Alligator mississippiensis: one gene and its partner. The protein of the gene in region 1 purifies or fractionates together with the protein of each later gene. This does not show direct contact. Links are inferred from orthologs where the notes say so. Each region holds a gene or a part of one and is shown on either strand. Other genes may lie near its edges. The genes, in order: ATP11A and TMEM30A.

What was found.
Region 2: the proteins of ATP11A (region 1) and TMEM30A purify together in Homo sapiens (co-immunoprecipitation; 4 studies listed by BioGRID and IntAct, with this or other methods). This does not show direct contact. The link is inferred for Alligator mississippiensis from reciprocal best matches to the Homo sapiens genes ATP11A and TMEM30A.

The regions. Positions count from the first base shown.
Region 1 is NC_081824.1:352,401,260-352,417,293, forward strand, and holds the start of ATP11A (phospholipid-transporting ATPase IH), read right to left. Parts: upstream 9,048-16,034; 5' UTR 8,680-9,047; coding exon 8,641-8,679; intron 1-8,640. UniProt on the Homo sapiens protein: Catalytic component of a P4-ATPase flippase complex which catalyzes the hydrolysis of ATP coupled to the transport of aminophospholipids, phosphatidylserines (PS) and phosphatidylethanolamines (PE), from the outer to the inner leaflet of the plasma membrane.
Region 2 is NC_081824.1:65,527,370-65,543,403, reverse strand, and holds the start of TMEM30A (cell cycle control protein 50A), read left to right. Parts: upstream 1-7,638; 5' UTR 7,639-7,708; coding exon 7,709-7,957; intron 7,958-16,034. UniProt on the Homo sapiens protein: Accessory component of a P4-ATPase flippase complex which catalyzes the hydrolysis of ATP coupled to the transport of aminophospholipids from the outer to the inner leaflet of various membranes and ensures the maintenance of asymmetric distribution of phospholipids.

The DNA of each region.
Region 1 (16,034 bases):
TGAGGCATAGATCAGCTAGGGCCCAGATCTCCAAAAGTATCTAGCTAGGTGCGTAAATGCCACTGAGAATCTGAGCCTAAAAGATTTGCCCAAGGTCACCTAGGAAGTCTAGAGACATTTGTTCAATTCTATTCTCCACTCAGGTCCTATACTAATATTATAACCACTAGATGACTCTTCCTCTCTAAAATAATCTAGTATATAATATGAGTTTCTTTTAGAGAAGACTTGCTTATTTTTACACCAATGTCTCAAATACTTTTGCAACATCAATAAAGCTTAACATCTATGATACTAAAAGTTCAAATTCAAATACCTTTCAAACAGGTATTTAGAACACAACTGCTTAAAGTCATTACTGTTAAAATGAAAAAAACTGGTGTCTGCATGATGGAGAAAGGCTCCTTGGTTTGCCTTGTCTACCTGCAGTTGTTGCCATGGAAATTATAGCAGGAGGTAATAGTATTCCAGTATCATTCTGCCTCACAATTCAGACCGACTTCAACTGAGGTATCCTGTGACAATTCCACCAATGGAAATGTTATCCTATAGAATGGTAAACCAGCAAGCTAAGAAGCAGTAGTCTGAAAAATACAAGTAGACTAAAAGATTTAAATGATGATACTGGTTTGTTTTTTTTGTTCACAATACAGGCAAGTCAAATTCAATTTCATAACAGGTGTTCTAACATCTGCCTAGCCATTCCACTACCATAATTTTGTTTTTCTAGGGGCAGGAGGCTTAGTGATAAAAGGCAGAGATGGGAAATTAGCCTTTGCCATCTCAAAGACACGGATACACACAAATGCAGTTAAACACCAGAAGACAATTCAAACAATTTACAATACTTTTTACTTGCTAGCCCAGTAACTGTATTCTGAATGTAGTTTAAACCAATTTGACTCAATTAATAAAAAGTAGTTTCACCTCTTACTTTTCTTGTTTCAGTTATTAGCAAGAAATGGGACAATGAATAAAAGGAAAAGCATAGGTATTTTAAATCTATCAAGTGCTACTTCAAGCACTATTCTCTTACATTCCCAAATGTCTACTGAAAATGCTTCTTTCCTTCAGCAATGAAGTTCAGTTGCGAATTAGTATCTGCATAAACATCCAATGATTTTGCAAATAAAAAGAAAACGAAGGCTATCAAAAGATAGGTACTTTTCTTATAAACAGGAAAATATCAAGACAACATATTCCGGTGCTAAAAATGTCAGGGTTAAGAGGTCTTTCAGAAATTTTGTTGACTTAAGATCGGAACAATTCAGAGACTGAAGAAAAAAAAATTCTTAAATATGAAAGAACTTTGATGAATGCAGAAGAGCAATATGTTGTAACCAATACCTACCAGTTTGTAATATATGCTCTGCCTTACAGAAACTGAACCTGTTTACTGCTGTACTTTCACAGGTTTATTCAAAAAAGAAAGTCATTCTTCATTATAAAGGGATTTGTGTCCAGTTCTGCAAAGAACAAAGCCACTGTAATTCTTCACAAATTTCTTGGGAAGCAGAAAACAAGAGTTAAGAGTGGACAGCTGTTGATTACATGAGAAGCTAATTAGTTTCGACTATATGGAACCAAGACGTATGGTCACCTTACTTATCTAGTAGTACTCTGCTTAAGGAAAATTTAAGTGCTAACTTGACTCCAGGTGCAATCAGCAAGGGCACACAAAGAGCCAAATGATCACAGGCTGCAGAAGTTGCCTACATAACGCTGCAGAACGTACCACGCCACAAACATCACAAGACAAGAGTACCATCAGAGGCTGGCACATAGACTTTGTAACAGTACAAGGTCTTGCAAGAAAAGAGATTAAATAAAGAAAAAATTCCAAAATAGAGCGTCTTAATTCCGCATAGATGTAGATTTCTTGGTGAAGTAAAAGCTAGAATGCTGACTACGTGAATGATGCTGGAGGAGGTCATGATGTTTGTTTCAGTTCTTAGAATTAACCTTTGAAATCCTTCAAATTCAACTGTTCTTACTTTTTCAAAATGATGTTACTGCCTTCTGGACAAAATTTGAATCTGGAAGGGATATGAAGTTGAGGCATGCTACTGATTTTTTTTTTCCCCAACTTAACAATTGTTATACCCTAAACTAAAAATGGAAAATACGTTAGAGAACATAATTTTTAGTGCTGCTTTGTGTAGTTGATAGCACTAAAAATGTAAAGTATTTTCCCTAAACAGTCAGCTAGAGTGCTCGTTTGTGTGGACCTTACACCAATACTTAAAATATACATGAATATAAAACTGTACATCCACAGAAGTTTGCCTAAAGGAAGGTACAGCACCTGAAGCAACTTTTGAAGTTGACCATGTTTGTTATTATTATTTATTAGCCCCAGACTAATAAACCTAATTGATTTCCCTCCAACTTTCAAGTTAAAGCTCCATCAGCCTTTGTTATATTGAAGTGTATGAATATTATTTCAATTTAGTATTTAAGGCATTCACTAGGAACAGCAATTTTAGAACTATACTCTTAACATAAATGGCACACCATTTACATCAATGACTGCAAATACAGCATAGTAGAACTAACATGAAATTCCACATAAATATTGTGGCAAATACACTGAAACTTTTTATATGTAATTTCCAGATTAGACCATTGTTATGCCAATCACTACAATCATTTTACTCAATTAAGACTACACTTTCAACCCACTTCTGTTACAGTGAGAGACAAAGCATACATTTATGAAGCCATTTAAAAAGTATTTGAAAAGCTCAGCCAGTTTAAAGGACTAATGTAACAGCTCTGGGAGTTCTCCAGGGACCAAAGATGCAGAGATTTCCTTTCTAGAGGACCGACAATTTATCAAATACAATACACAGTACTAAAATAAATAAATAAATAAATAAATAAATAAATGTTATATTATATACATTTCTATTTATGTACTGCCAACAAATATTTAATATTCTGAAATCAGATTTATGATCCTGTAGTAATGTGGGGGGACACAAAGGAGCAGACAATACAGCAGCAGTGTCAGTAATTGTAATGTACTATATAAACAGGAAAAGCAGGGCAATTGTAGGGCAGTAACTGCAATTCTCTAACCTAACCAGTACTGCCAAAAATAGAGCAGTCAACCTGGACAACAGTATCTACCAATCAGGGACAGCTGTCCCCAAAATACAGTGTAGGCAATTACAATAGGTTGCAAGATGTTCAGTGACTGCTTCGTGTCCGAGAAGCTGCATGCCAAGAGCAACAGTTTCCGTTTTGCCCCAGAAAGCAACTTCAAACTTGTGCAGCCCTGCACCTTACTAGAAATAAGGTATCTATCATGTTTACAAATATACACATTAGAAATGACGAAAGAAAAACAATATTCATTTTACAAGAGTCAAGACTTGTGTGTTTTATTTATGGAACACAATCCCTCTCCATTATAAAAAAGGGGAAATAATAATTGGTGCAGTTAGGAGGAACTTCTAAATCATTAAGACTGCTAAGGATAACATGAATTATCACAAGGGAGGTGATGACATTGCAGTGAACTATACAAATGAAGCCACGCCACTTCATGGCATCTAGACAATGCCTTAAACTGGAATAATCTCTCAACGTAGTTTTAATTATCAAAGCACCTTCAATTTCTCCCAAGTACCGAATGGTGCCAATTTCTGCTTTAAAAGCTAAATTTTTCATGCAACTGCTTATCCAGGTTTTTACCACAATCAAATATTGTTGTGTGCCACACCATTAAACCTGGTATTTTCAAACTGTGAATCTGACTCCCCTAGAGAGGTACAATCTTCCAGGAAATGGACCACACTACCCCAAGAGAGAGGGAAAGAAAGGAGGGGTTACTTTATTTTGTCTTTGCTTATGACTTAAAGGGAGGTGGGGGGGGTGAGGAAAAACAGTCTGCTAAAAGTTGGGAAATTCTGATTATAAAGCCATAAAAATTGACAGATGCATCACAAACACACAGTTTACTTCAAGCTCCCTGTAAAAGGACCCAAATGTATGACTCTGCAGAAGAGTCAGTTTGATCAAATTTGAAAACTTGGGGACAGAAGTTACCCAACTTTAAAAAAATTAAAATCATCAACATACATTAGGAAAGGGACTTCCATTGTTTATAATAAAATGTAAAGCTTTAAGACAAATTGAGTGTTTTGACTTGGCAAGTACAGAACTATTATTCAGGTCCTCTAGCTCAGCATTGTGAATGGTGTATGGGAAAAAATATTTCTACTTTATTTTTGACAAAGATGCAACATGGCATGTTAGATGCAAGCTGAAACCCTCTAGAAACTGTATGCTCAGTAAATAAACACTCAATTCACAAATATTCTACCTTAAACTTAATATAAAAACTGGCATTAGTCAAGCATATTTCTGCAGCACTGTTCATCTTGAAGGATCCCAAAGCATTTATACGAGGTCTTCTTACCGGAATTGTCATACTTCAGTACAATTCACTTCAGCATCTTTCACATACAATTTTATTCTATACATATAACCTTATAAAAAATGGGTAGGAGGGAACAGAAAAATATTTTATTCAAAAATAAAAAAAAAAATTAGGGGGGAGGAATATCATAACACAAGGTTGAATTGGGCAAGACAACAACAGAGTAGAGATGTTATTTTTAAAGCCAGTCTACCACCATCCTGGGAGACTGAATACACGATATCAAAGTTCTGGTCATGCTTTTTTCCAAATGTCAAAAATCTGCTCTGTCCACACTACCTCTGCAATTACCATGTTCTACCTAAACAAATCAATTGAAAAATTTGAGGCAAGCAAGCCAGCCAGCCAGCCAGACATATTTGAAAAAGCTACCCATAACTGGAAAACCAGAAGCTCCTGAGCAATGATTGGTAAGTGCTTCACAGATTTAAGAGTTACGTTGGAATCTGTACTGCTTTTCAACATAAACTGCTGCCTTTCACACACAGAAAGAGAATGGCCTTTCCTTTTGAATAAAGACCTTGACATTATAACTCATGTATTTAATCACCACCACAACTGAAAATTATATGGGACTAATGGAAACCACCACATAGAAGCTACAACTAATACGACATGCAGAAGCCGTTTACTGCTCAACAGAGACTAATGAGACATCACACCGGAGCTATGAGCACTCAGCTAGCTACTTCCTTATGTCTCCAGACAGAGACAGCAAAGGAGCCAGCAGAGCTTCTCAACCTTTTAAGATTCAAGGCAACCCTAAGAAACTATCAAGTTTTAGCTTTCACTCATTTTTTGACAACATAAAAATAATAGAGCAATTCTTTTGGTGTAAAGAGCTAAGAAAGACCATACCAGGTCAGAACGTGTGTAACACTATGAATACATCTTTGAAATCACTGGGTTTATCTTGTGAACCATGGCTGTACACCAAGTAGTGCTAATATAGTATGGCACCCTGCAGCACCCTTGAAAAGATCAAGGCAGCCCAGGGTACTGCAGCTTGAACAGACTAGGATCTGGATATCTTAGAGGCCATTTATTCACTAGGACAACTAGGCATTACAGAGCTATTGTTACCAATGCTTCAGTACAGTAGCCACTAAGAATTTTCTGACTCCAAATCTTCTCATGAATATCCTCTGGTAAGGACTTCAACTAAGCACAAGTTTGCTCCTGTTTAGACATAGCATCTCAACAACAGTATTTAATAAAAATCTGAAACAAAGAAAGATAAACTGCAAAACTACCAGTCTCCTATAAAAGAATAAATACCTCTGAAACAAAAGCAACAGCGATTCTGCAATGGCATGGTCATCAGCTAATCTTTTCTGTCAATCAATCATCAGTTTCAGGGAAAACATTTAAGATTTTAAGAGTGCACATTTCCTCTCATAGTTATATAAAAAGAAAATGAACTGAGCTGGAAAAAGGAGCTATCCAGTTCTCCTCGTACAGAGCATATTTAGATGATAAACCTGAGCTGTGCACAACAGCTTCTTCATTTGAAGTAATAAATTCAAGATAAAGAAACTAACTGAGATTATAGAGAATGCAGACAAGCAAAGTCTGGAGCAACAGATTAAAACTTACTATTTGTAGATCTCTGCAGAAAAAAAGAAAATAAAAGATCTGTTCAGTTGTCCCACAAACAAAAACACAGGGTACTGAGATTTGGGAAGTGTATAAACAGTCTCTCATCCAGATTAGGAAATTCCTGGACTCCGTTTCAGTCTATATAATGAATATAATTAGTTACAAAAAGAAACTTTTAGGTCAGAGACTCTATCCTCCCACAAGTACATGATTATTTTTCTGCAGGGTATGTTTTCACATGCTCCCTTATCTCTCAAAATAGAATACATTTTCTAGCGCAGTCTCTGGTCTGGTTTCCACCAAAAGTGTTTATGACACCCAATTCCTTCAAAGGACTATTCCACAGACTAGCAGAGCTCCTCATTTAGCCAACTTTTCCCCCTTTTATTAGGCCAGATCCTGAACCCTGCTACATCCAAGCAGAATGCAACTGCTTGCTAGTAGAGCTCTTCATGGGCAGAAGAGCTCATCTGAGTTTAAGCCTGAAATTTTTCAGTTGGATTTTCATGGTGCAAACTAGTTTTTTTATACACAGCTTTGTATAACTTGAAACAATTCCCCCCTTTCTTCAGGTTTATAATCTAAAGATGCACAAATGCAAGTAGCTTCATTACTATTTCTCCCCACACACATATGCATGCCATCTCATAACAGCTATCGTTTTAGAAGGCTTTCCACAGCGAACATATCTTCAGCTCCCAACTTTTTCCTGCTAAATTTCCCCTCTGAACTGTTCTTTCAACCCAAACATCTTGAGTAAGGAACTCAAATTAGGCTTTACTAGCTGTTTTACCATAAAAGGAAGTCAGGTCCCTGACTTTCACACTGACCACCCTGAGACCTCTTTTTTGAATTATTTTTCTTCCTACTCCAGATGCATTTATTTAACCTCAGTTTCCTATTTTTAACCTTTGCCCCTTGTATTATTTCCCTCTTCAGCGGCTGTTGGCCAATTTAGTACAGCCAAGATCTTGATTGTTAGAGTGTTAACAAAGGCAAGATTTTACCACCCAGTTCTGGTGCACACTCATCTACAACTCCTTTTTCCCAAATGCAATGCTGACTTCTTTACTCTATTAGCTTTCAATGGTGGGAGTATTTTTCATATTCAAATTAATTCATTTCCCCCAAAGTATGTGTATGCAAAAGGGTAGCTGCTATACCCAGCATGTCTCTGGGGGCTTTCATTTTATCCACAGAAATACAACAGGAGCCAAAGCAAGTTTCTCCAAACTATACACTGGTTTACTGGGACATTATCAATCGGACAACATTACCAAGAGCAGCTAAATATAGCTGAGAACACAAGGACATAACTCACTACTAGGTGGTGAGGACTCAGCCCCACCCTCAAAATGGGTCCTCATGGCTTGAGGCAAGTTCCAGACTCCAACCCCTCTGCCTTTGTGTGGGGGAGATCTATACAGTTCATGTTCAAATCCCCATATTCCTGCCTGTCCCTCCAAAAAAAGGATTTCTTGGCCATTTCAGTAGGCAGCTGGAAACTGAGTCATGGTTTGTAACCACTGTTCTTTCCTAGGGTCCTGTGGTCCCTTATACCTAGTGCTAATAAGTGGCCCATGCATCTCAGCTCCCTTGAAACTGTCCCCCCCAATCCACTTCTCTCAATGCTAAGGAAGCATGGCTTACATTTAAAAGCTCATCTAACTACGCAACTGCATAGATAGTTCAACAGAAGACACCACCCTAAGAAAGCCTTGCCTCTATGCTAATCCTTGTGACTCAGGCTGAACTGCTTCTGGGCTCAGAGTATCTGGGAGGAGAAATGGAGTGACACACCCAGCAGAGCAAAAAAGGGGTGAGGGGTGCTCAGGACTCCCCAACATATCTAAATCTTCAAGAGAGGAGGGAACCAGAAGGCTTGTGCCCACTCCCCGTCAGTACATTTAAACTGTCAGTTTACACGTGACTTAGTTATGTGAAAAATAGCCAGACTCTTTCAGTTTCTAAAAGGAGTCTCAACTCCAAAAGGAGACCTGCTTTGCCATCAGTGGCCAGTTCCAGCCACCTGGCTAACGTGCTCCCCAAAAATAAAAAAGCAGGGAAAGTTCACTGGATTTCAGAAGTGAACCCAAGTGACAGGAGGTCACACTACATGATGTGCATTTCGAAGCTAACAAATGCAGAAGCCATCTCTTTCACCCAGAGGGAATCGCTTGCCCTGGGGCGGCCAAGGTTTCTCCCTCACCTTAGTTCAAATCGTGAGACCCTCCAAGCCCTGGCAGATGTTCTCTTACTGCAAGCACGGGGAAAGTGGACCAGTGTGTGCGCACACTTCCTTTGGCTGCTACTTATGCCCCTGACCTCAGGGTAAGTCATGAGACCCTTCAATCCCTGCCTCGCGATGATCCCTTACTGTAAGCGCAGGGAAAGGAACGAAGAAAGGAAAGAAAAAGAAGCGGGGGAAAAACGAAGAAAGGAAAGAAGGGGTGAGGAGCAGAGCGGGGCGGCCGTGTGCGCACCCCTAGCTCCGGCTGTTGGGTACTCGCGGGCGCCGCTCCCGTGCGCGGGCGGGCGGGCGGGCGCTGGGGAGGCGCGGACAGGCAGGCGGGGGCCGGGCGCGGGGTACTCACGTATCGGTGCACTAGGGTGCGGAGAAGGCTGCAGTCCATGGCGAGGCACGGGCTCTGCCGCCGCCGCTGGGCGCAAGCTGCAGCCGCCCCGCTCCCGCATGCAGGAGCCGCCCCGGCAGGCGCGCGTGGGGAGCGGAGCCGCCGCGCCCCCTCCCGAGGCTGGCGTTGGGGCTGGCCCGGGCGCTACCGCCGCTCTGCCCCGGCTAAATCATGCGAGCGCCGGGCAGAGCCATGTGTGCGCCGCTGCTGCTCCCGCGCGGCGCCTCCCAGCAGCTCATTCCCCGGCGCCCGCGGCTTTGAAGAGAGGAAGCGAGCTGGCTGGCGGGCACCAGCAGCGCGCCTCGGGGCTCCCCGCCCGCGGGACTACCTCGCCGGGCTGCAGCCGCCCGCTCTCCCGCGCCCAGCCGCTCTTTGATCTCCTCGGGCTCCCCAGACGCCCACGTCATAAAGGGCGTGTGGGCATGCGCACAGCACTGTCCCCAGCTCGGCGGCGGTGCTTTCACCTCGCACCTGGCTGGGCCGGCTCTGGGGCGCGCTGCGGGCAGCGCCTGGTGGGGCTCCAGCCCCTGCGGGACGCGGCTTGTGTCTTTTTTCCCCCCAAGGTTTCGTTGGCCATTCCCCGGGTTCCCTCCAGCAGTGCTGCCCCCACCCCCAGGGGCTGCTTGTGCAAGTCCCGCTCCTCTGGGCTATCACGGACTCAGCGGTTCTCGACCTTTTTTGTAGCAGGACCCACTTGTAAACCTCCATGGCCAGTCCCGACCCGGTGCTCCTCACGCCTGACCTGCTGCTGCCAGCCCCCCCGGGTGTGGCGCAGGGGCTGGGTGTATTCACAGGGTTTGAAATATGGGGGGCTCGGAGATGAGAACCCCCTGTAAACCCCTAAGGGACAAGAGTTCCTGGCCTGCCGTGCGCCTTCCTAAGCAGCTGAGGCAGTGGCAGCGCCTCTCTCCAGCTTCCTGCTGCCCCCGCCGCAGCCCATCCCCCAGGGTCAGAGTGTAATTCAACCCTGTGTGTGGGGTAGGGGGGCCCCCAGCAGCCCCTCGCAGGCTGGAGCTCTGCCAGCTTGCAAGGGAAAAGCCAGCCTTTGCCATGGTTTTCTCCTTTAAAGGAGAATCCATTTTTGAAGTTTGTTCACAACCCTTTTCTATATCCTCGTAACCCAAACACAACCCCCGGGTTGAGAAGCGCTGTCATAGAGCTCCATGGAGATGCAAGGCTGGAAGGGATCTCAAGCCTAGTCCCCAGGGAGCCAGCTGGGACCTGGTGTTATCAGTACCGCACTCTGATCAAGGCTGTGCCTGCCCCTGCTAGGCTGCAGGGGGGCATGGCAAAAAGCACCCATCATTGAGGGAGCCTCAAACAGGCTTCAATTATGGAGGATCTGGGGGGAGGGGCTGAGCCCCTACCCCACCGAGAGATACTAGAGGTCCCCTATAATATTTGAAAATCATAACCCAGGGGGGTCTCCGATTTTATTAAAGCATTGTGATGGGCAGCCCAATTTTTTTTTGCAGACCACCCCAAGAGTCCAAGTGTAATTTGAACCTTCCTCTCAACAAATCAGCCCCCTTCCCCAGGGGCACCAGTTCCCCTCCCCCTGCAGTTGTGCAGAGACCAGCAGCTGGGGGAGGGGTGGGGGAAACCTTGAGAAACCCCAAGGCACTCCAGTAGCTCCCTGGAGAAGCTCCTGCTGCTCCAGGCACAAGGCAGAGTGATAAATACTCATCTCTTGCTTCCTTAGGGAAGGGGAGCAGGAGTTTAGAGGTTGCAGCTGTTCACTTTGTTCCATTGGATGCTTTATGTGAAAGATTTCCTCCAAAAGGCGAAAGCAGGCTCAGGTTTCCCCAGCACTACCTTAAAGGATCTTGCCCCCACAGGAACATGCTGTGCTACCCCTGCAGCCCCAGAAACTGGCCCAGGAAACAAGGGAGATTTCCCACCAGGAATCTCAATTCATCAGTGAACGTAGGGTCAGATAAGCCCTCGTCTTCACATCGCCATCACTTCAGTTTGCCAGTGATCATCATCTCACTTCTGGGAGGTATTGTTAGATTCTTCTCCACTACCACTTCACTTGCCCTCACTTGGTCATATGTGGTATACAAGGGGAAACCCCTCCCCAGAAAAGAATGTGAATAATCTGCAAAATTAATTGTTAGGAAGTCAGTGCCTAGCAAGGTATCTTGATTGGTATCCTTTTCTACAAGAATTTTACAGTGTAGGGGGCATAAATGAATTGCCAGTGCCAAACAGTCCTCAGTGCAAACAGGCAGAGGGAATTAAGGCCTGACTCCTGCAGACACTTCCCCAGACAAGTAAGAGCTTTACCCTCATGAGTCATTCTTCAGGGGATCACATTCCCGCTTGGCAAGGGCAGGAGACCACATCATCTCATCAGCTCCTCAGAAGTAAATGCTTAAGAAATCAGAAGTGAGATTTCAAGTCTTCTGAGGGAAGTGATTAATCCACTCTATTCAGCACTGGTGAGGCCACATCTGGAGTACTGTGTTCAGTTTTGGACCCCCCCCCCCGAAAGGATGTGGACAAATTGGAGAGAGTCTAGAGGTGGGCAATGAAAATGGTGAGGGGGCTGGGGCACATGACTTCTGAGGAGAGGCTGAGGGAACTGGGCTTATTTAATCTGCAGAAGAGAAGACAAAGAGGGGATTTGATAGCAGCCTTCAACTACCTGGAGAGGGGTTCAAAAGAGAATGGAGCTAGACTGTTCTCAGTGGTGACTGATGACAGAACAAGGAGCAATGGTCTCAAGTTGCAGCAAGGGAGGTTTAGGTTAGATATTTGGAAAAACCTTCTCACTAGGAGGGTGGTAAAGCACTAGAATGAGTTACATAGAGAGGTGATGGAATCTCCATCTCTGGAGGTTTCTAAGACCCAGCTTGACAAAGCCCTGGATGGGATGATCTAGCTGGGGATGGTCCTGCTTTGAGCAGGGAGTTGGACATGATGACCTCCTGAGGTCCTGTCCAACCCTAAATTTGTATGATTCTGTGATCACTGAAAGTATGGCCATCCATAGTGTCTGGGGGGAAGGGGAAATTTTGCAATAGAAATAAGTGTGTAACCATCCACCAAAGTAGGGGTGCAGGGTGTCTCCCTCCATATGTTCACTCAAATGGCAAAATGGGGCCCAAGTTATCACAAACTAATTTCCAGAGATAAACACAGAAACCCTAATTTTCAATGATTCTATGACTTCTTGGCTAACACCTGTTTAGTATCAGTCCACCTTTCCTCTCCCTTCCCCTCCTCTCCCCCATGAGCAAGCTACAATGCAGTTAAGTTTAAAAGTCTACTGCAACAGACTAAGCTTGCACATCTGAGAGAGAACCTTAAATGTAAAGCCTGTAAAACACACTAGGAACTTTCCTATTTGACCCAATATTTTATCAAAGCAAACTTTTGCAAAAGAGAAAAAAAACTCCCACAAACCCGGGGAAACTTCTCCAAGTTTTTTAATTCCAGTGGAAATGATTGTTTTGAACAAACTTTGTTCTACAATGACTGAAACCCAAACACTGTAGCCCTAAGAAAGAGTAATGGCCTATAAACACCTGTGAAAATTAACCTGTTTTCTTGATTGTTTCCCCTGCTGCTGAAGCGAGAGAGAGAGAGAGAGTGCACACAGTGGTGAGCAGATATCATATTTCTATTCAGTTTTGAAAGATGACCTCTCAGGGTTAGAAAAGTGGTTTGTTGCTCTCCCCTACCCTTCTTTCTTCCTCCCCCCTCTCCCCTCCATTTGGTTTTCACTTTAATACACAGAGAATTACTTTTGGTTTTCCTTGGCTTGTGGCTTTTGAATGGTTTCAGAGAATATTTATTATTTTTCACACCTTAACTGAAAGCTTTAAACATAAATTTCTTTCTCCAAAATTACTTAAAAATCATTCAATTTAGGTAAATCTGTGTTAATGAAAACAAAAACCCAAAGCATTTTATGCAGTCACAATCTAAGACCTCTAGGACACAGATGGTAAAGCTGCTTTGCATGGCCTACTTCATGGCCTAAATTATCAACTTTCTTCCTTTTGGTTCTTGTGTTATCATTGTTCCCTAGTTCTGTAGCCATCATGAAAAGCTTCCAGGACAAGCAATATCTGAACTTGTGCTGCTGTTAAGGTAAAGTTAAAAAAATAAATCACATTGTTTGAAGTTTCCTTACAAACTTAAAAGAAAAAGAAAAAGGCAAAAGCCCATTTTTTGTTACAGGTCACCTTTAATTTAGCTACACTATATACATTCAGCATTTTTTATTACTAGTTGGACTGAAAAATATGTAATTTAATATGCAGTAAGTGCAATGTGATTGAACTATTGTGGTTGCTATTCCAAACCTTAAAGAGATTTGAGTTAAAAATAGATTTCCTTACCTTTGCTACTAATAATAATTTATTTTAACTTTTGTGTTACCTGTCTTTTTCATTCCCATATTTACAGCCTGAATATTGTACCATGAGGTTTTTATTTTAATTACATTTCCTTGAAGATCAAAGGGGAAATTTAAAACATCTAAGAAAAGAGAAAAAATGACAAAAAGAAAAAATACAGTGGGCTTTCTACTACAGCATTCTATAAAAACATAACAGGTTTTATGATTGACTTCTATGATGAGATGATTGGCTTTGTTGATGTGGTGTACCTTGATTTTAGCAAGGCTTTTGATATGGTCTTCCACAACCTTCTCACAGTCAAGCTAAGAAAGTATGGGCTGGATGAATGGACTGTAATATGGATAGAAACTGGCTGGACCATCAGGCTCAGAGAGTAGTAATCAGTGGCTAGATGTCTAATTGGTAGCTGGTATCAGTGGAGTGCCCCAGGGGTTGGTTCTGGGGCCAGTTTTGTTCAATGTCTTCATCGCCAACCTGGAAGAAGGCATAGAGTGCACCCTCAGCAACTTCACAGATGACACCAAGCTGTGAGGAGTAGTAGATATGCTGCAGGGTAGGGCTAGGATTCAGAGTGACCTAGACAAACTGGAGGATTGGGCCAAAAGGAATCTCATGAGGTTCAGCAAGGATAAGTGCAAAGTCCTGCACTTAGGATGGAACAATCCCATGCACCAGTACAGGCTGGGGGCTGACTGGCTGAGCAGCAGCTCTGCAGAAAAGAACCTGGGGGTTACAATGGGCAATAATCTGAACATGAGCCAGCAGTCTGCCCTTGCTGCCAAGAAGATTAACGGCATACTGGACTGCATTGGTATGTTGGGAGCAGGTCAAGGGAAGTGATTATGCTCCTCTATGCAGCACTGGTGAAGCCACATCTGGAGTGCTGTGTTCAGTTTTGCACCCCCCACGACAGAAATAATGCTGACAAATTGGAGAGTGTCCAGCAGAGGATGACAAAAATGGTGAGGGGGCTGGAGGACATGACTTATGAGAAAAGACTGAGAGAACTGGGCTTATTTAGTCTACAGAAGAGGAGACTGATAGGGGACTTAATAGCAGCCTTCAACTACCTGAAGGGGGGTCCAAAAGAGGATGGAGCTAGACTGTTCTCAGTGGTGGCAGATGACAGAGCAAGGAGCAATGGTCTCAAGTTGCAACAAGGAAAGTTTAGGTTACATATTAGGAAGAATTTTCTTACTAGGAGGGTAGTAAAGCACTGGAACAGGTTACCCAGAGAGGTGGTAGAATCTCCATCCTTGGAGGTTTTCAAACCCGGCAAGACAAAGCTGTGGCTGGAATTATCTATTTGGGGATGCTTCTTCTTTGGAGCAGGGGGTTGGACTAGATGACCTCCTGAGGTCCCTTCTAAGCCTAACTTTGTATGAGTCTATGATTGGCACAGGACTATGGATTTGAGCAGTTCAGCAGTGCCACGATTGAAACTGAAAACTAATCAGGAATTTTGCTGTGTATACACAGCTGTGTAGTATATGTTAACTATCACTAAATTAATTTCTCCCCTCCTCCCCTAATTTATTTAAACACCTTAAATAACAATTTGTAGTAAATACAATGTTTTTCTAATTAATCTTTTCTACAAATCTTTTGGTATGAAAAAAAAATATCAAACCATAAATGGGAGTGACTAGGTACACAACATTTCTGCTAAACAGCAACAGGAAAGCTTAAGTTGTTTTATTAATGCACTCTCCTTATCCAAGTAATCCACTAATTGCCTCTTTTTCAGTGCCATTTCTTCGATTACATCTATACGCTACATGCCCAAAATGCATTTTCAAATATTTCAGAACTTTTAAATTGTCTTCCTTAAACTTAATATTGTCTACAGTATCAAATCTAAAGACCTCAAGCACTTTATAAATAATTACATTTCAGCATCCATTGGTTAATTAGTCGTATCCTTATTTGTAGTGAGGGAAATTCATGCATTATATGATTGGGGATAAATGCTATGAAGTTTTTACATATCTGCAGGTTAGGTACTGGAGCAAAAGGGAGTGAAAATGGAAGTTGTATATTGGAACCTCAGAATTATTGCATATAACAATGAGTTATCATATATCACAAAGATTCAAGAATATGTAAACATAAACGGATTCTTTGTCCCAAATAGATTATCATGTTGTCATACACAGGAAATAGCTCAGGCTTTTCATTCACTGGCACCTTCTAGAACTTTGTCCTCTGCTGCTCTATGCTCTGTTCACTGTCCTCTGCTACTCTGTGCTCAGCTTTAGAAGCACAGTCACGTGTGTAAGATGTCCCCAAGCAAGTCCACCTGCATGAGGGATGACACAAAGACAATTTAAAGTCAAGTGAAGATGTTATTTCAAATGTTGTTTCAAGTGCAGGTACTTATTGGGGTCCAATTTACTGTGCAAATATGATGATTATGGTACATTTGCTGATACTGTGCAACACCTAACATCCCTCACTAGACACAAATGAATCCATATTTGTGTTAGGCACCTAGGTTCTCTTTGTAGTCCATGAAGAGTGCAAGGGGCCATAGAATGGGAAAAAAAACCCCCTTCATATGCTGATCAGTGACAAGTCAGATAATAAGTACTGAGCACAGAGGTGTGCCCAAATTCCTGTACATCTCCAGATCTTAGGTACCTGACTCAGGTCCTATAGCAGGAAGCACTCCACACCCCCCACTTCCCCAGTTGACCCTGGGAAACTAAGCGTACAAGAGTCATGAGGCCCAAGAGAGAGAATGAGATGTTCTAGCACAAGGACGGAGACATCCTAAATGTGAAATACAAGTCCTTTCCATTCAACACATGCTGGATAAACACACAGAAACTATCCAGAGAATAGAAGCCTGGACTTGGCCTCCTCTATCTCCTGAGGGCTGTGAGTACTAGACTACAGAGGTATTCTTCTGTTCACCCTCCCCTGAACTGAATGATTTTGAATGATTGATTGCAGTTTCGGAATCCAGGAGCTCATACCTAT
Region 2 (16,034 bases), about 290 Mb from region 1:
GGGCAGCCATGCCCCACCATGCCCCTGGATGAACCGCTTGCAGCTCTGTGCCATGACTTGTCCCAGCCCCAGGGACCCATTCACTCCAGCCTATGTCCCACTCCCTCCCTCACCATGGGGGCCTTGATCTGCTCCCCCACCCCTTTCCTTTCCCCCCACCCCTCCCCCTCCACAGACTTACCCACATGGTGCTGCTCTACATGCAGCGTGCAGGCTGTGGTTGCTCATGTGTGCCAGTTTGTGTGCGCCCAGGCTGCCCTGCACTCCTCTGCACTGCCCCGTTGGGTGGCCCGGATGCAGCGGAGCACAGCCCAGGCACAGGCTCCAAAACCACATGCACGATCAATGTGCTAAAAAAGTTAATGCAAGAACCAATTACACATTAATCATGTACACTAACTGCGATTAATTGGCATCCCTAATTTTTAATATATTTTCAGTTTTCCATTATATAGTTCTAAAAAATCAAACACTTTAGAACCATTATTTAAAAATTAAACTTGGACACAGCTTCATAAAAATATAATTGTGGCAAAGATACACAGATATTTTTAAAATAGTTTTTTAAAATCTTATATATTTTTAGGGAAGGGAAGGAAATCACTCTTACTCCTTAAGAAATATACAACCGACTGATGTCTGAAAGGGTATTATATGCATTTCTAATTAATGGTTGACTATGTTATTTTATTTCAAACCTTCACAAATATTTCAATTATTTTCAAGGTACTCTCAAATCTACACTGATGATGAAGTTCTTAGTAAATATGTTGTGCATAATAAAATGTACTACTTCAGATTAAATGACTATGATTATTTAATATTTACAGTAAAATATTATAATTAAATATCAATGCAGACAGACTGATTAGGATAATGGACCTTGTATATTAGGCACAATACAATCCTCAACTACAGTTCTGCAGTCTTTTTACACATTATGGATATAATTCTGTTGGCCATAAACTTAATGGCAGAACTAAATGTGGAAGAATGTTATTTAAGAAGTATCCTTGTTTCTCTTTCCTTCTCACATTCCTGATTGTTGTCTTAACTTTACTGGTTCAACAAATATGAGTAAAATAACTACATTACAACCAGCAACCCTAAAATAATTAAGATATAAAATGTTATGGCATAATGGGGAAATAAAAACTGAATAAAAACTGGCCACACATTTTTTTTAGTGAAAAAATGGTTCAAGAAAAAATGTTGTGTCTAAATCAAAACTTGATGCATTACAGTTTTGACAGGAAAAGTTTCTGTTCCAGGACTAAATTTCTTGTCTAAGTGAGAGAGGACCATACCCACATACAGACATCCCAGAAGAGCTACAGTATGTTAGAGAGGGCATTCAGCAAGATTAAGTTCCTGATCTGCCTGATTCAGACTAGGATTTGAGCCTCAGTTTTATAATGGTTTATCTTGTTCAACTATATTATTATTTTTTTCAAAGCAGCAGAGATGTGGTCTGAGCGCTGAGTTGGGAGCCAAAGATATCTGAGTTTTAATTTTGGCTCTAGTAGTCTCTGTTTTGCCTTGACTGAAACATTTATCTATCTCACAATATTTTATGAGGTTTAACTGTCTCTAAGATGTTCTGAAAATAAATACTATAACATGCCAAATTTAATTTTAATATTTTTATTTTAAAAAACAATCATTAAAATTAGTCTTATTTACCTTCTTATAACATCAAATATTTTCCTGTCTTTTCTTTTAGAGAGTGTCATCATTCATCAGTTACGCATGAACTCTAGATGAAATACTACATCAAATGTATTCTGTATGTGTGCACTTCCTTACTACAAGAGTTGGATGGATCACTGTTGGAAGCTCTTTACCATTACTGCCAGGGGCTCCAATGCTACTGATTACTTATGGAAGTATCTATTGCTTCCACTGGATATTTGTTTTGTTTGGGGTTTTTTCTTAGACTTTAAAAAATGCAATGGCGTTGCTAATATTTTCAAAGTATATAGTGAGAGAGAGCAGCAGTTTTGCTGCCAAATGAATTTTACTCTTCTTTTGCAAAGCATAAGGCATATGCTTGATTTTGTTTGGTGTTTGCTATATAATTTATTTTTATAATACACTTTGTAATGTAATTTTCCCTAAGCCTTCCAATTTCTATTGTCCATGGCACATTTATATGTAGAACACTGTCAAATTCTGAAAGTGTTGATTGATATTTTTCTATTAGAGAGCCTGTTAAGAAATTACATGTTAACAACAGTGCATTTTTAAATGGAAGACGTACTGTACTCAACACAAATTTTCCTGCCACCTTATAACTCTGTGAGACTAAATGTTCTGAAGACTGCTGTACAGGATATACTGTTATAAGTTTTTTGCACTGTGCGGTGGTTTGGCGTAAAACTGAGTACTAAAATCCAGAGTCCTAAAGTACTACCTGACTTCATAGATTGATTTGAAATACTGCAAACCAGTGTTCGTTAAGCTGTGATTTTTTTTTTTACGTGTGTTTTTACTTCTGCCTGTACCATAAAGTCAATTTTCATTACACTATAACAAATAAATTTTCACTAGTATGCAAACACAACCGAATGTCTGAATGGTAATACTAATTTCAGAAGGCTGACCCCATTTCAGTTGTTTATAGAGAAGGACACGCATGATTTTGGCAGTTGCTGCCCTTAGGTTAGTATTTGATACCATATTAAAGTGCATGCATACATACATAAAGTTGACCCTGATATTGCCAAGTGCTTTAAAGAAAAATCCATTGCCTGACAGAGCTAATGATATTATTGTTTCTAGCTGTGCTTTCTTGACACTAGCAAATAAATCACAAACTGAACTTAAATTTTATATCAGCAGCCCTGGGAAGCTGGAACATAAGAAGCAGCAAAGTGAGAATTCTATGGCAGCTCTTAAAATAAAAATGATATTTCACAGACTTCTTAATAAGATGCAATACAAACTGCATACAGTATAACTTCATAAATCCAGCATGCTCAGGACCGAGCATCTACCGGAAATTTGAAAATTCCGGAGTTTTGAAACTGGAGCGGTGGCTGGTCATGGAGCGGGGGATGGGGATAGCAGCAGCTGATCCTGGAGCAGTGGCCGTACATGGAGTGGGGTGGTGGACGGCGGCAGGAGCTGCCACATGCAAGCTTCCCCCTCTGTGTCTTGGGAGGCGGGGGGTTGTGGCGGCCAGTCCCAGAGCAGCGATGCGGGGTGGTGAATGGTGGTGGTAGCCATTGCGTGCTAGCTTCCACCTCTGTGGCTGGCAGTAGTGTATTTTTTAAAAGTGCCAGATTTTCAAGAATTCTGGATTGTTAATGTCTGGATTTATGAGGTTATACTGTACTATGTTTTCTGGTATTTATTTTCATAAATAAGTATTTTTATAATTAATTAGTTGTATTATGAATTGTTGCCATATTTTTAGTTTGCAGAGGCTTCAAATTCTATGTTGTCAAAAAACTTACCTGGGGGGGGGGAGGGGTTGGAATATGGAGGAATGTTTCAGGATTAAAGAACAGATGCATTAACTGTTCATTTCTGATAAATGAATGAATGGTGAAACACTTCAGTTTTCCTATTCTGACATATTCAAGAACAATATTTAACCTCATGCTGAAATGAATAGAGAAGTTAATCCCTTAGGCTGTCTCTGCACTTGGAAAGATAATGAAGTGTTGATTTATAGTCATTCAGATCATGTTTCCAATATTATTTTCTCAGTAATAAGAAACAGGATATTTTAATACCACAATTTATATTCTGCACCACATTTCACACCAACAGAATGGTAGGATATGCTGCTACCTATATAGCGTGTATCTTTCTGACAGCATTTTTAAGCTATTTTATGCGACTGTTTGCTTCCATGAAATTCTAATATTTGTTTGTTTTGTATAAACTTTATATGAAGTGAATTCATTTTAAGTGGGTATAAAGTGTCATGATATGGCAGCCTGTAAGGAAAAGACGAAAATGCCAGTTACAGCATCTAGAATGGATACAATCAATTTCATTTTTCTTATGAAGAATGAACCCTGCTAGGTTTTGGCTGTACTGGAAAAAGCTTTCTTGTTTAGTTGTTTTGCTAAACCCTCACAGTGATGCTGTAGCTTACATAATAGAAGATATTGAAAGCGTGTTCCACAGCCTTCTGACCTTATTTGTGAATGAATCACCACCTAGATTAAAAATGGCTTTAATCTAATCTGTAATGAAACTGGCAGTTATCTCAGTGAACACAGCAACCCTATCACAATGTTTTTTCTGGTTTTAACACTGCTTTTAACTTCCTGTTGTGCTGTCTGAAAGCCTCAGCTGATATAGAAAGTGTATTTTACTTGTTGAAATTTAACAGCATTCTGATATATTTTGCTTATGGCAAAAAATATTGTGCTTGCTGTAAGAACTTCCCCTAACCCCTACCAAAGACACAATTTGTAGAACTTTAAACAGTTAAAGTATTTTTGTTTTTTGTTTTTGTTTTTATCAGAAATGCAGCTAGGATTTATTTTCATGTATTTACTTTTTAAAATATTTTGAATGGAACTGTAGTATCCATATAATTGGGAGACATATTTCACTGGCTGTAACCTAAATGCAATAAAATGTATGTTGTTGAGGTTTTCCATACACGTTAAGCTTGTAATATTTGACTGGCACGCAGATGTATAGTATATTTTGTAAGATAACAAATGCCATCTGCTCGAAATGTATCCCATTTCAGATGACAAGTGAATTTTACCCTGTGAATTAAAGTTGCTGCCTAAATCTTTAAAATAGTCTCATCCATATTTGAATATTGAGGGCCTGAATGCATTACATGTTCACACTAGAGGAAACTGTTTTTGTACTAGTATAAACCCTTAACAATGTAAAACATGTTAGAATCTAGTGTAGTTACCCTGGAGAAAAATGGTAGTAAAAATACATACAGGTGGAGGTGTTGTGTTTGCAGTTATCTTAGGTAGTCATTCAATCATTGCAAACAGCTTATTATATGTGCCTCATCAATTAGTGTTGAGGTGCTTTAAAAGTGTTTACTGCAGTGGCTGCTTCAGGATCCTTGCCTGTCTGCTCTGGATTCCAGTGTAATTTACAATACTGTAAAAACCGATACACATCAAACTGGTAGTATCTTGGCCCTCTATTCAAAATATAAAAATTAAATATAGTAGCTATGTAATTACCTTCTGCTTTTGAGTACTTTGGGAGAAAGAATAGTGACAGATGGAACTAGAGACCATTCTGGCCTTGACACCTGGAAAGATCATGGAACAGGCCCTCAAGGAATTTATTTTGAAGCACCTAGAGAAGAACAAGGTGATCAGAAACTGCCAGAATTGATTCACTAAAAGCAAGTTGTGTCAGACCAACCAGATTTGCATCTATGATAGGGTGACAAGTTCTATGGAAGTGGAAAGCAGTAGATGTGATATACCTTGACCTGTGACCTGGTCTGCCACAGCATTCTCATTAACAAACCAAACTGAGGAAATACAGACAAGATGAAAGCACTGTAATGTGGATATATAACTAGTTGCATCGTGTTCAATGAACAGTCATCAATGACTCAATATCTCGTTTGGAGGAGGTATCAAGTGGGGTTCCTTGGGAATCTGTCCTGGCTCGGGTATTGTTGAACATTTTCTTAATGATTTGGATGAAAGAATTGAATATATACTTAGAAATTTGCAGATGACACTAAGTTGAGTGAAGTTGAAGACATTCTGTAGGGTAGTGCCAGAATCTAGAATGACCTGGAAAACGTGGAGAAAATGCCCACAATCAATCAGCTGAAATTCAATAAGGACAAATGCAAAGTGGTGCACTTAGGATGGAATAACTGCATGACAAATACAGACTGAGGAATGACTTGCTAGGTTGCAGAACTGAAGAGGACCTGGGGTTACAACAGATCATAAACTAAGTATAAGGGAACAGGGTGCTTTTGTTGCAAAAGAGCCAAAAGCAGGCTGATTTGTTTTAACAGGGTTGTCACTTGCAAATCAAGAGAAGTAATCCTTCCAGTGAGTCTCTCCACTTTTGGACCCTGCACTTCAAGAAAGATGTAGTAGACAGACTGGAGAGAGTTCAGTGGAGAGCTACAAAAAAAGATTAGAGGCCTGGAAAGGATGACTTACACGGGATGGCTGACAGAGCTAGGATAATTTACTCTGGAAAAGAAAGTCTCTGATAGTCTTTAAATACTTAAAGGATCATTATAGAGAGAACAGAGAAAAATAATTCTCTGTGGCTATGTGGGACAGGACTTGGAGCAAGGAGTTCAACATTCAGCAGAGGAAATTCAGGTTGGATATTAGGAAGAACTTTCTGTTTATAAGGGTGGTCAAGCACAGGAACAGAAGTTATGGACTCTCCATCCCTGGAAATTTTCAAAAGCAGTTTAGACAGATACTTGGCTGAGATGGTTTAGTCAGGGATGATCCCACCTTGAACAGGGGACTAGACTAGATGACCTTTTGAGGTCCTTTCCAGCCCTACTTTCCTATGATCCTAAGTTATACTAGAAATATTCTTTTCATACAAATACACTTGTTAAAGAAAATAATCAGTCTTCCATTTTACACCTCGGAAGCAGAGAGTATGCTGAACTCTCCCTTTCCTTTGTGTGCTTACTGGCATAATTGCAAACAAGTAAATAGTCTACAGAAACACTATCCCCATGATACTTATAGTAATTAAATTCAACCTCATCCACTTCAGTATCTTACTTAGGCACATATAATGCTACTGGGAAGGCAGGAAGAAGGGCCTGTTTGCTGTCTCACTTCTTTCCTCATCCCCCAAAATTACATTGGGTCTGTTTTAAAGCATCAGACCAAGGAGAAAAACAAATCACTCAGGTCCACTGAAGACCCAGGAACCAGGTGGGGGGAGGATTTACCCCCTTCTGCCCTTCACTTTGGGTGAAGTTACACATTATACACAGAACATACTAAATCTGTGGAATATTAAATGGTGTTAAAGCTACAACGTGCTGTGAGCAATCGCACATAAAGTAGGGTTACCGTATTTCCAATTCCAAAACAGAGGACACCTGTGGGGGGGGGGACCTCACTCCCCACCCGCAGACCCCTGGCCCAGATGGTGGCCCTCACTCCCCACCCAATCCCTCACCTCCCCAGGCTATGCTGGTGCCCCTCACTCCCAACACGCATCCCCCTGGCCCTGCCAGGGCCCCTCCTGACCCGCAGACCATCCCAACCGGGCCAGCGTGCGGCAGCTCCGGTTTTTGCGGGTGCTCGTGGAGCGAGTAGGAGGGAAAAGGGGAGGCCTGTGGCATCCCGCCCCACGCCCTGGGCTGGGGCTCCCACGTCATGGCGGGCGGCCCCTGGCAACATCTCCCGGCCAGCGCCCCACGATCAAGGGCACTAGCCCAGCTCCCCCGCTGCTCTCTAGAGAGACCGGGCCTGCAGAACGCTAGCAGAGCAACTATGCATGCGCCACCCCAGCTGCGGGGCCGCGTCTCACCCACCGGACTGCGCATGCGTAATACTCCTCCCTCTCGCGCTCTGACTTTCCCCTGACACGGCGCGTCATCAGCGCGCGCCCCAGCTTCTCCCCTTTTGCGCAGGACGGCGCGAGGCCCGATCACGTGGCGACGGCGGGCGGTGACGTTGTTGTGTCGTTGCAGCCCCTCCCCCCCTCCCCGGCGCGAGCGGCGGAGGCGGCGGCGGCCCCCCGAGCCCCCGCCATGGCGGTGAATTACAGCGCGAAGGAGGATGCGGATGGGCACCCGTCGGGCGGGCTGGGCGCGACGGGGGGCGGCGCGGCCAAGACGCGGAAGCCGGACAACACGGCGTTCAAGCAGCAGCGCCTGCCGGCCTGGCAGCCCATCCTGACGGCGGGTACCGTGCTGCCCGCCTTCTTCGTCATCGGCCTCGTCTTCATCCCCATCGGCATCGGCATCTTTGTCACCTCCAACAACATCCGCGAGTACGAGGTGCGCTGTGGGGCTGGGCTGGGTGCGTCCCCGGCCGGGCTGCCTTGTCCCTGCAGGCGGCTCCGGAGTGCACCCGGGGGAAGCCGCCGCGGCCCGGCCCGGCCCGGCCCGGCCCGGTCCGGTCCTGCCTGCAGTGTGGCCGCCGGTTTGAGCCTCCCTACAGGGAGGTGCGGCCCAGGTGGAGACAATCCTCGGGGTGGGAGGGGCAACGAAATGGTTTGGGGCCCGGGGCGCAGGGCTGGTGAGCAGAGGCTGAAGGACTTGGGCTTGTTCAGCTGTCTGGAAAAGACGGGAGTAAGAGGGGATTTGATAGTAGCCTTCAGCTACCTGAAGTGGGATTTGAAAGAGGATGGAGCTGGACTGTTCTCAGTGGTGGCAGATAACAGAATAAGGAGCAGTGGTTTCAAGTTGCAGGAAGGGAAGCTTAGGTTGGATATTAGGAAAAACTGTCTCACAAGGAGGGTAGTAAAGCACTGGAACAGGTTACCCAGAGAGGTGGTGGAAGCTCCATCCTTGGAGGTTTTTAAGACCCAGCTAGACAAAGCCTTGGCTGGGATGATCTAGTTGGGGCTGGTCCTGCTTTGAGCAGAGGGTTGGACCCAGTGGTTCTCAGCCTTTTTTTGTACCAGGACATATTTGTAACCATAGGTGGCAAGTCCTGACCCAGTGCCCCTCACTCCTGACCTGCTGCCCCCCACTCCCAGGCCCCCAGTGTGCGAGGCAGGGAGGCCCCAAGCAGCCCCTCACAGGCTGCAGCTCTGGCAGCCTGCAAGAGGGAAACCACAGCTTCCTCCATTTTTCTCTATTTTGAAAGTTTGCTCACAACCCTTTCGTATATTCTTGCGACCCACTATTGGGTTGCAACCTACAGGTTGAGAAGCGCTGGACTAGGTGACCTCCTGAGGTTCATGGATTCATAGATTGGAAGGGACCTCAGAAGATCATCGAGCCCAGCTCCCTGCACCAAGCAAGAAAGACAACCGGGGTCAAGTGACCCCAGCAAGGTGACTGTCCAGTCTCCTCTTGAAGATCTCCAGGGAAGGTGATTGCGCCACCTCTGGAGGGAGCTTATTCCATGTTCTGGACACCTTGGCTGTGAAGAAGTTTTTCCTAATTTTGAGCCTGAAACAGCCTTTCAGGAGTTTGTGACCATTGCTCCTGGTTTTCCCCAAGGGTGCCCTGCTGAACAGTTGTTCACTAAGCCTTTGATGTATGCCCCTGATGTAGCAGTAAGCTGCTACCAAGTCCCCTCTCAGCCTTCTCTTTTTTAGGCTGAAGACACCCAAGTCCCTCAGCCTTACCAGAGATTTGCATGGCAAGCCATATGAGGTCATACGGGTGGCCCTTCTCTGGACTCTCTCAAGCTTTTCCATGTCCTTGTTGAAGTGCGGTGCCCAGAACTGGATGCAGTACTCCAGCTGCGGTCTCACCAATGCTGAGTAGAGCTGAAGAATCACTTCTTTGGTTTTTCTGGAGATGTATCGATTGATGCACGCCAGAGTATTATTTGCCCTGGTGACTACAGAATTGTATTGCCGGCTCCTGTTCATACTGTGGTCAGTTATTACCCCCAGCTCTCTTCCATTCATAGTGCTGGTCAGATTGGCATTGCCAAGCCTGTAGGTGTGCAGGGGATTGTTCGTCCCCAGGTGAAGCACTTTACATTGCCCAATGTTAAACCTCATCTGGTTCTGATCCGCCCAACTTGCCAGCCTGTCTAGGTCCACATGTATCTGCAGCCTATCTTCAGGCATGATCGCGCTTCCCCATAACTTGGTGTCATCTGTGAACTTGGCCAGGTCCCTTCCAACCTTAATTTTCTATATCGCCCTTGTAGCACAGTCAGTACCCCACAGACACACTTCACTATTGAAGACTTTTAAGCAGCTTGATCTAGCCTGACCATCCTCCAGATACTGGTAAGGCCCATCACCCATATCTCAGTGCCAGGATGTGGTCCTCAATAGGGTTTTTGGAGGGTTTTTTTTAGCCAGGGATCTGCAAGTTGATTTATGGGGTAACTATAATACTAGGGGAACTTTGAAAGTGGAGAAGATGCTTGTTGTTTTAACATGTTGATTTAGACCACGTGCCTACGTACAAGAAGTTCAGTGCTAGCATGTGTATACACATATGCTTTGTCAAGCTGCTACCTAAATGCAGTACAGTTAATGTTTCTGTGTTTCATACCGTGGATGTCCTGACAGGCTACAAACAAGCTTGGAATAATGCACCAACGGTCTACTCGCATCAGGGGACATCTTGCAGTGATACTGTCTGTAATGCTGAAGTATACTAGGGAGGGCCCTTGGTGGTGCTTGTGTATACAGCTGGCAAGTAGCCAAAATGTTATCTTCATTTTAAACCTTTACACTGAGTTTAACAATTCTAAGTAGTAGAGGTGCACTGATACATCGGTCCATATCGTATCGTTACCAATAAAAGGAAAATTGAAATTATTGGTAATCGGCTTTTTTTGGCTGCTGTGGCCAATAATGTCACTTATAAATCTGTGCGTGCGCATAGCCACAGCATGCATGCAGCCACTGGGGGACTTGGGCGGAGGGAGTGGCTTCTGCTGCTCCATGCACCTGCAGGGTGAGGCATGTGGAGCACTTGCCCCCCAGATCTGTGAGTGAGGCAAGAGCAGGCTGCCACTGTGTGCTGGGGCTGGGGGTGGCACCAGGCTCTTTCTGGTGGGGGGGACTGGGGCTGGGCTAGGGCTGCACTTGGGGCAGGCAGCAGTAGTGCTGGGAGGAAGGGCTGTGGGGGGTGGCTACAGCCACCTCAGAATTCACTGTAGCCTCCCCGAACCCCCACTCCCAGTGCTGCTGCTGTCTGATCCAAATGCAGCCTTGGCCCAGTCCCCACCTCTCACCAGGAAGAGACCAGCGCTGCCCCTGTCCTCAGCTCACAGCGGCAGCTGCCCTTGCCTTGCGCACAATTCCAGGAGGCACATGCCCCCTATGCCATCCCCCCCACCATGAGCTGCTCGTGACTTCGTCCTGCCCCAGCCCCACTCCCTCCCTCACCGTGGGCAGCCTCACTCTGTCCTCCCTACATCCCCTCCTTCCCTCTACCTCTTCCCCACAACTGACTTGCTAGCTGGATGCTGCTCTCCAAGCTGCCATGCTGCATATTGGCAATCAGATCGGTATCAGCTGATATGGCTTGTTAATAATCAGCCATCGATATCAGCCCAAAAAATCTTTCAGTGAACCCCTACTGAATATTAAAACAATGCAGCTTTTTGGTGAACAACTAAAAGCCACCTCTTCCATCATCCATGCTCAATGTTTGATTAGCTGGTAGCTTCTGTATTTTTATAACAACAACCTAATTTCTAGCAGTTGCTTTTTAACTTGTTGATTGAATAAGATGAATTAAAAAAAAAAAAAGAAGATTGCTCACAGTAAAAAAACAAAACAACATAAGAGTGTGTGTGTTTGTAGGAATGCAGTGGTACAGAGTATGATGCAACCAGTGTGAGCCAATAAAAAATTACAAGTCCTTGTGCAGATCCAGTAATTTGACATGGACAGAAGTAGACAGAATTGTGAAGATCAGAGTAGTTGTTTTAACCCCTGGTAACCAAGCAGCATATGTTCTCATTTGTATATCTCTCTAAAGTTTTAACATTGCTGTAATAAAATGTGTAAATAATCTAAAATTGAAGCTGCTCAAGTCAAGGAATGTAAAAGATTAGTTTGAAATGTACTTTGTGTTCTGTCACTATCGTGTCTACAGTTAATTGCTTTCTAAAAATATGCACCTTTGTGCTTAGATCTGAGGGCATGCATTGCATCGCAAAAACCTAATTGATTTCTTTTAAAGAATGCTGTTAGGATAGGGTTTTTAAAAAAGGCATTTTCTTGTGGTAATATTTGAGGTAGTTGTGTAATCTTTAATGGGATGCAATTTAGAGAATGGAAAGGAACGGTTCCTTCTAATACATTAACCATTGGCAAACTGTTGACAGTGGTGTTTTAAAAAAATTCTTATCTTTGGTTTAGGTTTAGTTATTACAGCTAAAAGTATTTACATTTTTATATCAGTTTTTATAGAGTGTGGAGACTAAAGATAAGGACCTTAATCCATATTAGACACAGAAGTAAAAGTAGTAATTTGTTTTGGTTTTTTTTTTTAGAAATGCAAGATACTCCTAAGCTCCTCCCTCCTTCTTATGCAAAGGGCCTGCTAGTTACAGCACTCGACCAAGAAGCAGGTTCAGGTTCAGCACTGTCTGAAAGATTGAAACCACTTTTCAGGAGATGGGCCTGATCACATCAGGCTATAGGTTTTTGATGTAATAATGTAATGGGCCAGAGTGATAGTGAACAAGCCTTTGTAGCATAGTAGTTAGGGTAGAGTACTCACTTGGGAGTATGGAGATTATGGTTCTTCTCCTTGTTTCAAACACTGTTTAAATTTCTTATCCAGTTGCTTTTTTAATGTGGGAGGAAATGTATAAAGGGGAAGAAGGGGATGGCAGCACCACCACTTCCTCCTCCTGGAGCTCTTTTTGAAAGGCAGGACTCTGGAGCTATGTTTCAGGAGAGGGGTTAGGCTTGGGTGATTGTAGATAACTTGCAACCTAGAGTTAGGTGTCTGAGTCCTAATTAGGCTGGGGATTTTAAGATGCACACCTTGTCATGGTTTCGTTCTGACCAGTCTAGGTTACTTCCTGCTTGGTGGGAGGGGTGTTGTAAATCCCATTCTTTGTTTCCTTATTCTGCCCATGTTCTGTGTGGGTGGTTTAGATGCCGAACTTGTGCCTGTGGATTCTGGTTTGGAGGGTGCAGGATTGAAAGCTTGGGTGTCACAACATCCAAGTTCCTTGGTCAACCTAAACACTGGTATATTTAAAAAAGATTCTGCTTTTATTTAGATGCAAACACTTGTTTTGCATCTAAAACAAACATTTGTTTGTTTTAGATGCAAACAAACAAAAAACATTTGATTTTTGTAGAAGTGGTCCCAATGATTTAACACAGGTTTAAGTGTTTGCAGAACTGTGGCATAAGTATAGATTTAGAAGCTGAAATTACGTACTCAGTTCCAAAAACTATGGTCTAGTTTCTTAGCTGTTCTCTTCGTTATTTTAGCTTTTGGGCATCTGTTGGATTCCCTTGGAATGCCTGCTGGGAGTGGCATGGTGTGGTGTGGCAGGAGCAAGAGGAGCAGGAGGAGGAGCAGTTGCTGGAGGCACGGGGCTCAGAGCAGCACTCAACTGGCTGCAGCCACCTTGGGAACAGCCCACTGGAAACTGCTCCAGCTCCCTGGAAGATGGCTGGGAGCTGAAAGGCAGAGCTGGGTGTTGGGGCAGGAGCCACCAGGCTGAAGCTGCTCACCCACCTGCCTGGAATGGTATGGCACAGTGCAGCAGGAGCAGCTTCTGGTGGGCTGTTCTCAGTGCTGTCCCCTGCCACGTGAAGCGCTGTGGGGGCAGCTGTGGGCCAGATCCAGTCACCTGGTGGGATGGATTTGACCCACAGGCTGTATTTTTCCCACCCCTGATCAAGCCCCTATAATTCTTTTGAGCAAGTAAATTTTTGTTAATTTGACTACGTTGTTTAAAATACAGAGTGAGCACTTCACAGATTGATAACAACTTATTTTTTTTAGTAAAATGTAACCACACTTTAATTTTGTCTTTCACTAACATTGATTTTTATTTTTTACATAATAATTTTCTAATGAAGCCATATTTACTAAACTGACCTGGATATTCCAGAGCATTAATGGCAAAGTGAATGATTTTAAGTTAATTTTGCTTAACAAAATGGACTTAAATTCAAACATGGATTTTTATTTGCAATGGAGGATAATGTATGATGCAATTTTAGACTTGCTTTGTATAATTTTGACCATTCAGCTAAGTACTCAATAACAGTATGTACGTTTGCATTGATTTCCACCAGAGCTACCTTAAATTCAAATATGGAAGCTTTCCACCAGATTTAGTATCAGTATTACATATCCTGCACATAAGCAGTTTTCTAGCATTTTTGCAAACTCTGTTTCGCTCACACAAGAGTTTCATAGCAGATAGTGTGTTCATAGTTATCAAGGGGAGACGAACGTAATTTAGTTGGAAGAAACAAATATAAGCTACTAAAGAGAGATTCTTTGAAAAACCTATTTTTCCCCTGGAGTAGAAAGATTGCATTAAAATCAAGTTTAAATTTACCAAAACTCAACTGGATCCAGGACAAGATTCTTAACCTCAAAGTAATATTGTGTAAAGAGAATGATTGTTCAGTTGTTTACTTCGAGAGGTGAAGAAATTAACTTAACGTGGCAGCTAGGAAGGTTTAGCAGTTGTACATAATCAACAGAGAACAACTCCCCCTCTTCCCCTTTTTTTCCTCACTCTGAATTGTTACTGTCTAAGGGCCTTACCCTAGATCAGGGGTTCCCAAACTGTGGTACATGCACCCCTGGGGGGGGGCACTCAAGACATCTCTGGGGGGTACATGGGAGAAATTGTATAATGGCATATTTAATTTTCATAATAATAATTGGCATTTAATGGGGTTAAAATATAAAATGTATCCTGGTAGGAGTGCATTGGCAGCTGGTAAATCTGGAAGGGGCTATGCGATAAGCAACAGTTCGGGATCCTCTTCCATAGATCCAGGGAAGCTCCAGTCAAAAGTATGTTCACATTGTTTGTCTATAGGGATTTCCTACATTGTAGAATTTGCAGTCTACTATTCAGAGATTCGATTTTCCAAATGCAGTCTGCTTTATTGTAACCCTAAAGTGTCAGAGTTTGTTTGGACTAACTGAAGAACTAGAGTTGGATGTGCATAATGAAGTTTTTGTAAAAGATGAGGTTTTTTGTTGGTTTGTTTTTTTTTCCAGATATCTCTCCCAACCGTACAGCTGGTCTAATTAAAGATATATCACACACAAGTTTTGTCTCTCATACATCATTTTAAATCAGCCAGATCTGCCCATGAGTTAAGTACCAAGTCAGCTGCTGTTCAACTGACTGTTCAGTTCAGGATAAACGGTGTGCAGTGCTATTTAAACTAACAGTTGACAGATTGCTCGTAAGGACTGCTGAAGCGGTGATATTTGCCAGTTCATGCAGGGTGTAAAACTAATTTCTTTACGTAAATCAACCTTTTTTTAGGCTCAACCCTACTGTATAGTAGGAAACATGTTGCTTATAGTTATGTATATAACTATATATGTATAGTTAGCCTTCGATCTGGTGTCCCATGATCACCTCTTGGAGAAACTGGCCAGTTGTTGCCTTGGGTCCTCCACAATCCACTAGCTGGAAAATTGGCTCCGGGGTCAGACCCAGAGGGTAGTAATTGATGGAAGTCACTCATCATGGTGTCCTGTGACCAGTGGGGTCCCCCAAGGCTCTGTCCTTGGACCCATACTGTTCAACATCTTCATTAATGATGTGGACACTGGAGTCAGAAGCGGACTGGCCAAGTTCGCCGATGACACCTAACTTTGTGGCAAAGCATCCACACCAGAAGACAGGCGGGTGATCCAGGCTGACCTGGACAGGCTCAGCAAGTGGGCGGGCGAGAATCTGATGGTGTTCAATGCCGATAAATGCAAGGTTCTCCACCTTGGGAAGAAAAACCTGCAGCATCCTTATAGGCTCAGCAGTGCTATGTTGGCTAGCACTAAGGAAGAAAGAGTCTTGGGGGTCATCATTGACCACAAGATGAACATGAGCCTGCAGTGCGATGCTGCGGCTAGTAAAGTGACCAAAACGCTGGCTTGCATCCATAGATGCTTCTCAAGCAAATCCCGGGACGTCATTCTCCCCTTGTACTCGGCCTTAGTGAGGCCGCAGCTGGAGTAGTGCGTCCAGTTTTGGGCTCCACAATTCAAAAAGGATGTGGAGAAGCTTGAGAGAGTCCAGAGAAGAGCCATGCGCATGATCAGAGGTCAGGGAAGCAGACCCTATGATGACAGGCTGAGAGCCCTGGGGCTCTTTAGCCTGGAAAAGCGCAGGCTCGGGTGATCTGATGGCCACCTATAAGTTTATCGGGGTGACCACCAGGATCTGGGGGAATGTTTGTTCACCAGAGCGCCCCAAGGG